2 linked regions of the Drosophila melanogaster genome follow. The protein of the gene in region 1 interacts with the protein of each later gene in a pairwise test. Each region holds a gene or a part of one and is shown on either strand. Other genes may lie near its edges. The genes, in order: Cpr72Ea and hale.

Evidence for each region.
Region 2: the proteins of Cpr72Ea (region 1) and hale interact in a two-hybrid assay, tested with the Drosophila melanogaster proteins (2 studies listed by BioGRID).

Annotation. Positions count from the first base shown.
Region 1 is NT_037436.4:16,360,775-16,364,373, forward strand, and holds Cpr72Ea (cuticular protein 72Ea), read left to right. Parts: upstream 1-1,828; 5' UTR 1,829-1,875; coding exon 1,876-2,901; 3' UTR 2,902-2,976; downstream 2,977-3,599.
Region 2 is NT_037436.4:19,983,903-19,987,674, reverse strand, and holds hale (hale-bopp), read left to right. Parts: upstream 1-1,806; 5' UTR 1,807-1,899; coding exon 1,900-2,120; intron 2,121-2,179; coding exon 2,180-3,179; 3' UTR 3,180-3,249; downstream 3,250-3,772. Other genes in the region: schuy (schumacher-levy), read right to left, coding at 1-892, 956-1,511; CG17732 (uncharacterized protein), read right to left, coding at 3,484-3,772.

The sequences.
Region 1 (3,599 bases):
AGTACTCCCAGTCCTGAAAAATGAAAAACATGATTCTTGCCACCTGGCCTATCTTAAGTGCACCTTTAATTAGCCACGAAGGCAGTTCAAAGAACCAATGGTGGTACACAAATCAGGGCACAGTCCACTCGAGACAGAACAAAGGGAGTGAACCAAGTGGACCGGACTATATTGCCAATCCAACTTCAATTCCAGGCCAGAACTAACCAGCTCATTAAGCCAGGCTGGAATGGTTGTAGAGAATTGGGCTTTGATTGAAACTGAGTGCCAACGGGGCTAACATTAAAACGCACTTATCAGCCGAGCCGTCAAGGCCAATCCAATGTGGTTCTTGCAGTTGCTCCTCCTCCTCCTCCTAATCGGGAGCGAAGTTTAAGCACCAGAGATCTGAGGCATCCGATAAGCCCGCTGCTAAAAATAAAAATGACCAGCGAAGGAGGAACAGGAGATACCAATGCAGCTGCAGTGCATCAGAGGCGGATGGGAAACATATTCTTAGGGGGTTTTCTTAGTGTCCGGTTGAAATAAGTATATATCTTCAGTGTATACTATAAGGTGTCTAAAAATTCACATTATATTATTTATTTAGCGGACTTAACGATTTAATTAACCCTTTTCTGTGTCATATTTGTAAGCTCTTCGCATAAAACATATATTTCTTATGTACATACATATGTATCTAACCAAGTATTATAATTTTTAAGGGTACTTATGACCCCCCTAAGACCCCCATTTTGTTCGCCACTGGAGTGCATGACTCCCGTGTCCAAGCTGTGGCCAAATGTGGCCCTTGGCCTTCACTCACCTTGAGATGCCGTTGTTGTCGTCGTCGGTTGTTGCCACAGTTGTTGCATTTGCTGTTGCAGTTGAAGTTGCTGTTGTTGTCGTGGCCCCGTTGCAGTGTGCGAACAAAAAGGAGGCTGAGATGCCACAATGCTGTGGCAGCAACAACGATTGCATATCAATTACACGCTGGTCTGGATGCGGTCTTTGGCCTTGATGGTCCACCCAGCCAAGGCCCTTGGCTCGCTTGCAGATCCAGATGCAGATGCAGATGGAGATGCCAGGCAGCGATTGCTCCTCCCGCTGCGGAGAACCAGGGTCTGCCTCCCTCATTTGGGCCCACTCCAGCCTTGGCCACAATTAAACCAAATTGACAACGCCTTCACGAGGCGTCGATCCCCAAAAGGGGAGTGAAAGGCGGAGCTGCAATGTCCGTTAACGACACAAGTGGACACGACGACGCATTCGCATCTCCTCGTTTGCATTGAAGTGCATCTGATGGATACATTTGGAGAAAAAATTAATTGGCTGTTTACTATTTTAAAATGTGACAGATATTATTACTATTAGGTTATTCTTTAATGAAATACGTGTGCTTGTACAAATTTGATGAATTCTATTTAAGTACAATAAACCACCTTTTTTATCAATAATAAAATATTTTTTTAATGATTGTCATAATCATAAAATTAAAATTTCAGGAATTTAAGAACAGTCTTTTTTAGCAATATTATTATTTATATGCATTTAAATTTATGTTTTAAGCTTTGTACAAATCATTATTAAACAAATTACGAACTACTTATTTTTGGATTTAATTTAAGTCATAAAAATCACGTTACTATATTAGGGTAAAAGAGCATAAAACATTTGTATACTCTCTTAGATAATAATATGGCATACTTTTAGAATTTTTTCGCAGTGTATCAGAATAGAAGCATCTGACCGGCAGGAACCTCAGCCAGAACCAGAACCTAGAACTCGCGAAAGAACCTGCTGGGTATAAAAGGATGAAGACCTAGGCTCAGAATCAACAGTTACCAGTGAACTGACGAACAAGACTCACTCGAAGCAATCTTCCACTGCCCAACCATGAAGTATCCACTTCTGCTGTTAGGAAGCCTCAGCTTGGCCCACGGACTGGCCTTGTACTATCCCTATGCGTACACTGCCGAGGGATCCGCCGTGTTCACGCCCACCCAGCGCCAGTATATCGCCAAGGATGAGTTGGGTCAGTACTCCTATGGCTATTCGGAACCATTGTCCAGCAAACAGGAGACCCGCACCCTAGACGGAATCACCCAAGGATACTATAGTTACCGGGATGCGGCGGGAAAGCTGCAAACGGTTAACTATGTGGCCGACAACAAAGGTTTCCATGTGGCAGCCACTAATCTGCCAAAGGCTAAAGTTCCCCAGGAGTCGCTAGAATTTAGTCCCAGGAGCGCGTCGCATCCAGTAGACCACCATGTTGAGCATCACGCGGAGGTGTCGCATGCTGTAGTTCAGCATCCTGTTGGCCACCATCCCATTGAAGTTCCACATCATCACACTGTTGTTGAAAGCGGACGAAGTGCTCATCCAGATGGACATCATCCCGTCGAGCACCACGAGCACCGCGTTGCTGTAGCTCAGCATCCTGTTGGCCATCATCCCGTGGAAGTTCCACATCATCACACTGTTGTCGAAACCGGCCGAAGTGCTCATCCAGATGGACATCATCCCGTCGAGCACCATGAGCACCCCGTTGCTGTAGCTCAGCATCCTGTTGGCAACCATCCCGTTGAGGTTCCTCATCATCACACTGTCGTTGAGAGCGGTCGAAGTGCTCATCCAGAGGTGCCCCATTCTATCGAACACCACGAGCACCCGGTTTCTGGCTCAGACCCATCCGGATCCCATGGTGGCCACTCCCAATTGCCTCATCCCGTTTCTGATACCGCAGAAGTGGCTGCGGCCAAGTCGCTTCATCTTCAACGCGTCCACGATGAAGGCGTGCGCAACCAGGTGCTGGCCAAGATTCCAGTTGCTGTGGCTCGCAGCCACCATGTCGTGGTTCCTGCTCCGGTCTACGGCTACACCATTCCCAGGTACTACACCCCCGGATTTTACTATTGAATGGCAGCTGAATTCGCACGATTTGGTTCATTATTTAAGAATTTCGAATTTAAATTAAAAAATTGTCAATCAGTCTGCAACGTTTCTTTTGAAGTGGTAATGGGATAATATAAAGAAATTTTTAGCAAATTCATTTTGGTAACACAATATTTGTTCGAAATATATTCTTTCTAAGTATTCTTTCTAAAATTATTCTTCAATCAACAAATTTCTTTATAATTTCTAGTTTTAACATTTGTATCTTTATTTGAATATAATCATAACTAAACTCGCGACACCTAAAGTTCAAGATCCGGCTGAACTGAACCCTTTAGCTGCCCAACTCCTGGACTCACGGAACACGTTCACTCGGACCCTGTCCTACCTCAACCTTTTGGCCCCCCGACCCACCGATCACATTCCACATATGTGCAGCATAAACTCTTCATAAATGTGGGCCGAATTTTGATTTCAATTAAATTTAATAGCAGCATAAACAACGGCAAAGGCAACAACCTAAATAACTAAAACTGGAATTGGTAGCCGGCGTGTCCTATAGCCCCACCCGGTTCCTTGACCCCTATCCGGATGATTTGCAGCTCACACTGAGAGAAACAAATGACCAATAAGTATGACACATTTTTATAAAAGTTTAAAAGTGCTGTTAAAACATGGTAACTCTTGGTTATCATTCGACACTAATTATTTAAATAACGTTG
Region 2 (3,772 bases), 3.6 Mb from region 1:
TCGCTGGACTTTAGTGACTTTTCCTTGGATGGGTAGAAGCTGCTGCGTCGCTGGCTTGGTTTCAAGGGGCAGCAGACACTTTGGGCTTGTTGCTGCTGCTGCTGTGATTGGAACACCTGTTGGTTGTTGAAGGGTCCCAGGCAGTGGCAACAAGGATGGGGGTGCGTCCTGCACTGGGAACACTGGTTGCACAAGGATTGGCACGAGCAACAGGGATAAAATCCTCCAGAAATCGGAATATTCGGCTGCTGCTGCAGCGCACAAGTGGAGGTTCCGAGAACTGGGTGCATCATGTGCTGGCTGATCTGACCACCTAATCCCATAGAAGGATGTGATTCCATGCTCGACAAAGGACAGCAGGATGTACCACCGTTGTAGCAGCCGTTTGCAAAACTCTCCGGCTTCAACATGCAGCAGTTGCTTCCGTTGGCTGGACATTGATACTGATTGCCCATCTGCATTGGGCAGACTTGACTCGTCCTCGACGGACAGCAATTGCTGCACGTGCAGCAGGAGCAGCTGGACATGCTGCTCGGCGTGGCGCACAGGAACTGCTGGCCAGGATACATGACAGGACAACCCGATGTTGCCGTCCCCGGCTGATTCATGTGCATAAAACTGATGGTCACATATGGCGAGTTGTTGGTCGGTTGAACTCGCACGTTCGGGTGTTGCTGCAGCGTCAAATGCTGCTGCATATGTTGCTGCTGCTGCTGCAGCACATTCTGCTGCATGTTCTGATGTTGCAGCAAGGACATTTGCTGTTGATGCTGCTCATTCAGCGACGGTTGTCGCTGTTGTTGCTGTTGCTCCCGATTTAATTTTAAAAGTTTTTGTCGGACCTGGGCTGCAGTTTGAAGGGATAACTTCCGAGCGGCTTGTACAGTGTTACCTGGGGAATAAAGAGGGAGGAAGGAACATAAATATAGAAGCAATCTAAAATGAATAATATAACCTTTCTGGTTGCTATTGCTGGTGGTTGGATACTGCGGAAAGGCTTTGTCCGTCTGGGATCCTGCATTAGAAATGGCGTAGGAACGCGAGGTCTGCTGCGTCTGACACTTGCCGGTTTGGTCTTCCTTCGACTGTTCTATGTCCTGTTGAATCCGATTCCTAGCCAAAGCATCCTCGAGAACCACGAACGAAGGTCTATTCGCCAGATCCTTGTTGCAGATCTTAACGAAAGGCGGCAAAGTTTCGGTTTTCTTGATCTCCTCTATGGACTTGTCATTCTTGCTCTTCTCCAGCTTTTCAGTTGAGTCATCATCGATGTCATTTGAATTCCCTTTGAGCACAGCTATGCACTCTTTCTTGGTTTCCTTAGTGCCATTCGTCAGTGGGGAGTTACTACTGTCTGCTCCGCTTTGGGGATTCTTGCATTCCTGATTAAGTGAGCTAATTTCGATGAGACCATCAGTGCCCACGGTAATCATGAAACAGCATTTGGCCACCGTTTCGTCATTTGATTTGGCCAATTGCCCTGATGATTCATTCTCGCCTGGGGCCTCCATTTTCCTGAATTTTGATGTGTTTTCCGGGTGTTGTGAGTTGATGTTTCCTAACGCATATCAAAAAGTATATCAGGCGACAAATGTACTGTCAACTTTGAAATGCTCATCGAAACTGGATTTCCCTTACTGTGTAAGTAGTGACCAAAACGTTCTTGGTGTTTAAGATTTTAGAACCATATTAATATTAATAAGATAAAATTATTTAAAAACTTGAAACAGTATTTATTTCTTAAAATAATTCAAATTATATACTAGAGAAGCAAGTCTGGTATCAATCAGTATGTCTCAGCTTTATGATGTCAAACATTTCTACACCTTTTGTGCTTTAACATGTACACAAAATTGTCATATCCGTGAGTTGGCCTCTCCGGGTGGTGAAGAGTTGAAGATGTTCTGCACGGAGAGCTGTGAGCACGGATGCAATGCAACCTCGTCGGGCAAGCTGATCGCCAATGGAAACGGTGGCGGCCTGCAGTCGCAGGGAAATTCACAGCATCAGTTCACCATGTCCTACGCTCCACTGTCGACCAACGATGTGCCCTCCAAGTCCGAGGTGGAACCACCGCGACTGGGCATGTGCCTGGTCACCGAGTGTCCAGAGGGTCTGAGGTAATTTATACATGAATTTCCATGAAAAGTGATTCGATTTCTACTCCCTTCCTCTCCAGCATTGACTGCAATGTGCCACTGCCGAATTCTTTCAATTTGGATGAATACAAAAATCACATGATCTGCTCGAGCTGTACCCAGTTCAATGGTGGCTTGGACAGATTTGGCCAGCCAGGTACAGCCGGTCCAAGTGCCAGTCCTAGTGCCAATCCATATCCAACTCCGATGCCCAATCCCATCCAGGCCTCTCCTTGCAGCTTTCATGGCCAGTGTTGTTCAGCCGGTGGACCATGCGCTGGATATGATTCGCAGCCAAATCCATCAAGATGCTATCGACAGGAATCATCGTTGGCTCAAGGAGCCCCAGCGATGCCGCAGATCTTTTGCCTGGCACCACCCAGTTCCCATGGTGGCTTAAATCAGCCCGTTTACTTGTGCAGCCTGATTCCAGTTCCGCCATCGTGGAACCTGGTGCCGCTGGCCCAACCGCAGCACTTGACGCATCAGCAGCTGCTGACGAATCCCGCACAGGACTCGCAGCTGCCGTTGCAGCAATTGGTGCAGTACGACCTGTCCTTCAATCGCCTGCTGGCCGAATTGCGCAAGGAACGGGAGAGGTCCTGTTGTGACCTGCAGATCCCCCAGCCTCTGGCTTTCCAGCTGTATGCGCCCACGGTTAGGTTTCTAGATCAGCCAGATTCCAGTTCGGCGAAGAGAGAGCCTCATTGCCCGCCGGCAGCTCCTTGTGCTCCTCCAGCTGCACCACCACAACCACCATCCTCGTCATCATCCCCAACAGCCACATCTGCCTCCGCCGCCGGGCTGCCAAGAGCTCGTTCGGCCAGCCCGAAGCGCAGTCGTTCGTGTCTCCGGAACAAGGATCTCTGGGACAGTGGCGGATCCGTACCAGGTCCATCCCCCTGCTCCTCGCCCACCCAACATGCGACCGGAAATGTGTGCATGAAGTGCGGAAACTGCTGGCATTGTCCGCGCTGCAACTGCTCCAACTGCTTCTGGCATCCCGGCTTGGTGCGAGCTCCTCCAAGAGATGGTCGCTAGGGAAGGGGACTAAGAGCCACTCCTACACTGTAAAAGAAGAAAGTGTAATAAAATTCCAAGACTTTTAAGCAAGCAGCTTGCCACTATTTCTTAATTGAATTCAATAATAAGAATATTTATTCTTGCAATATGAAGAGAGAGTCACTTTTAAGGTTTTTTTTTCGTTTATTAGTTTGTAATATTTAAACCCTATTTATAAATATTTTATGATACATAAAAAATGAATTCTTTCACAATTTCTACAGCAGCTAGGACTTATATCACAAGTAATGTTCGTTAAACAATGAACTGTAATTAAAAGTAATTATCGATCAGCCTGCATGTTCATAAAGCTAGCCACGTAGTTGGACATGACCGAGTTTATTCCGAAATGGTCGTTTCTGGGCTCAAGGGGTTGGGATTGCAAATTCCGGTGGCCGGGCAAGATCAGCGAAGCTGGCGGCAAGGGAGTTCTTATTTGGCAAGGATACGGATCCGTTCCCAGCTCAGAAATCCTTGTGCGACAACGCCTCACTTTCCGGGCAGAGGGACTAACTTGGGTGCAGGTCCTGCTGCTGGATTGGCAATACGGAGGTGGCGGAAGGAGAAATCTT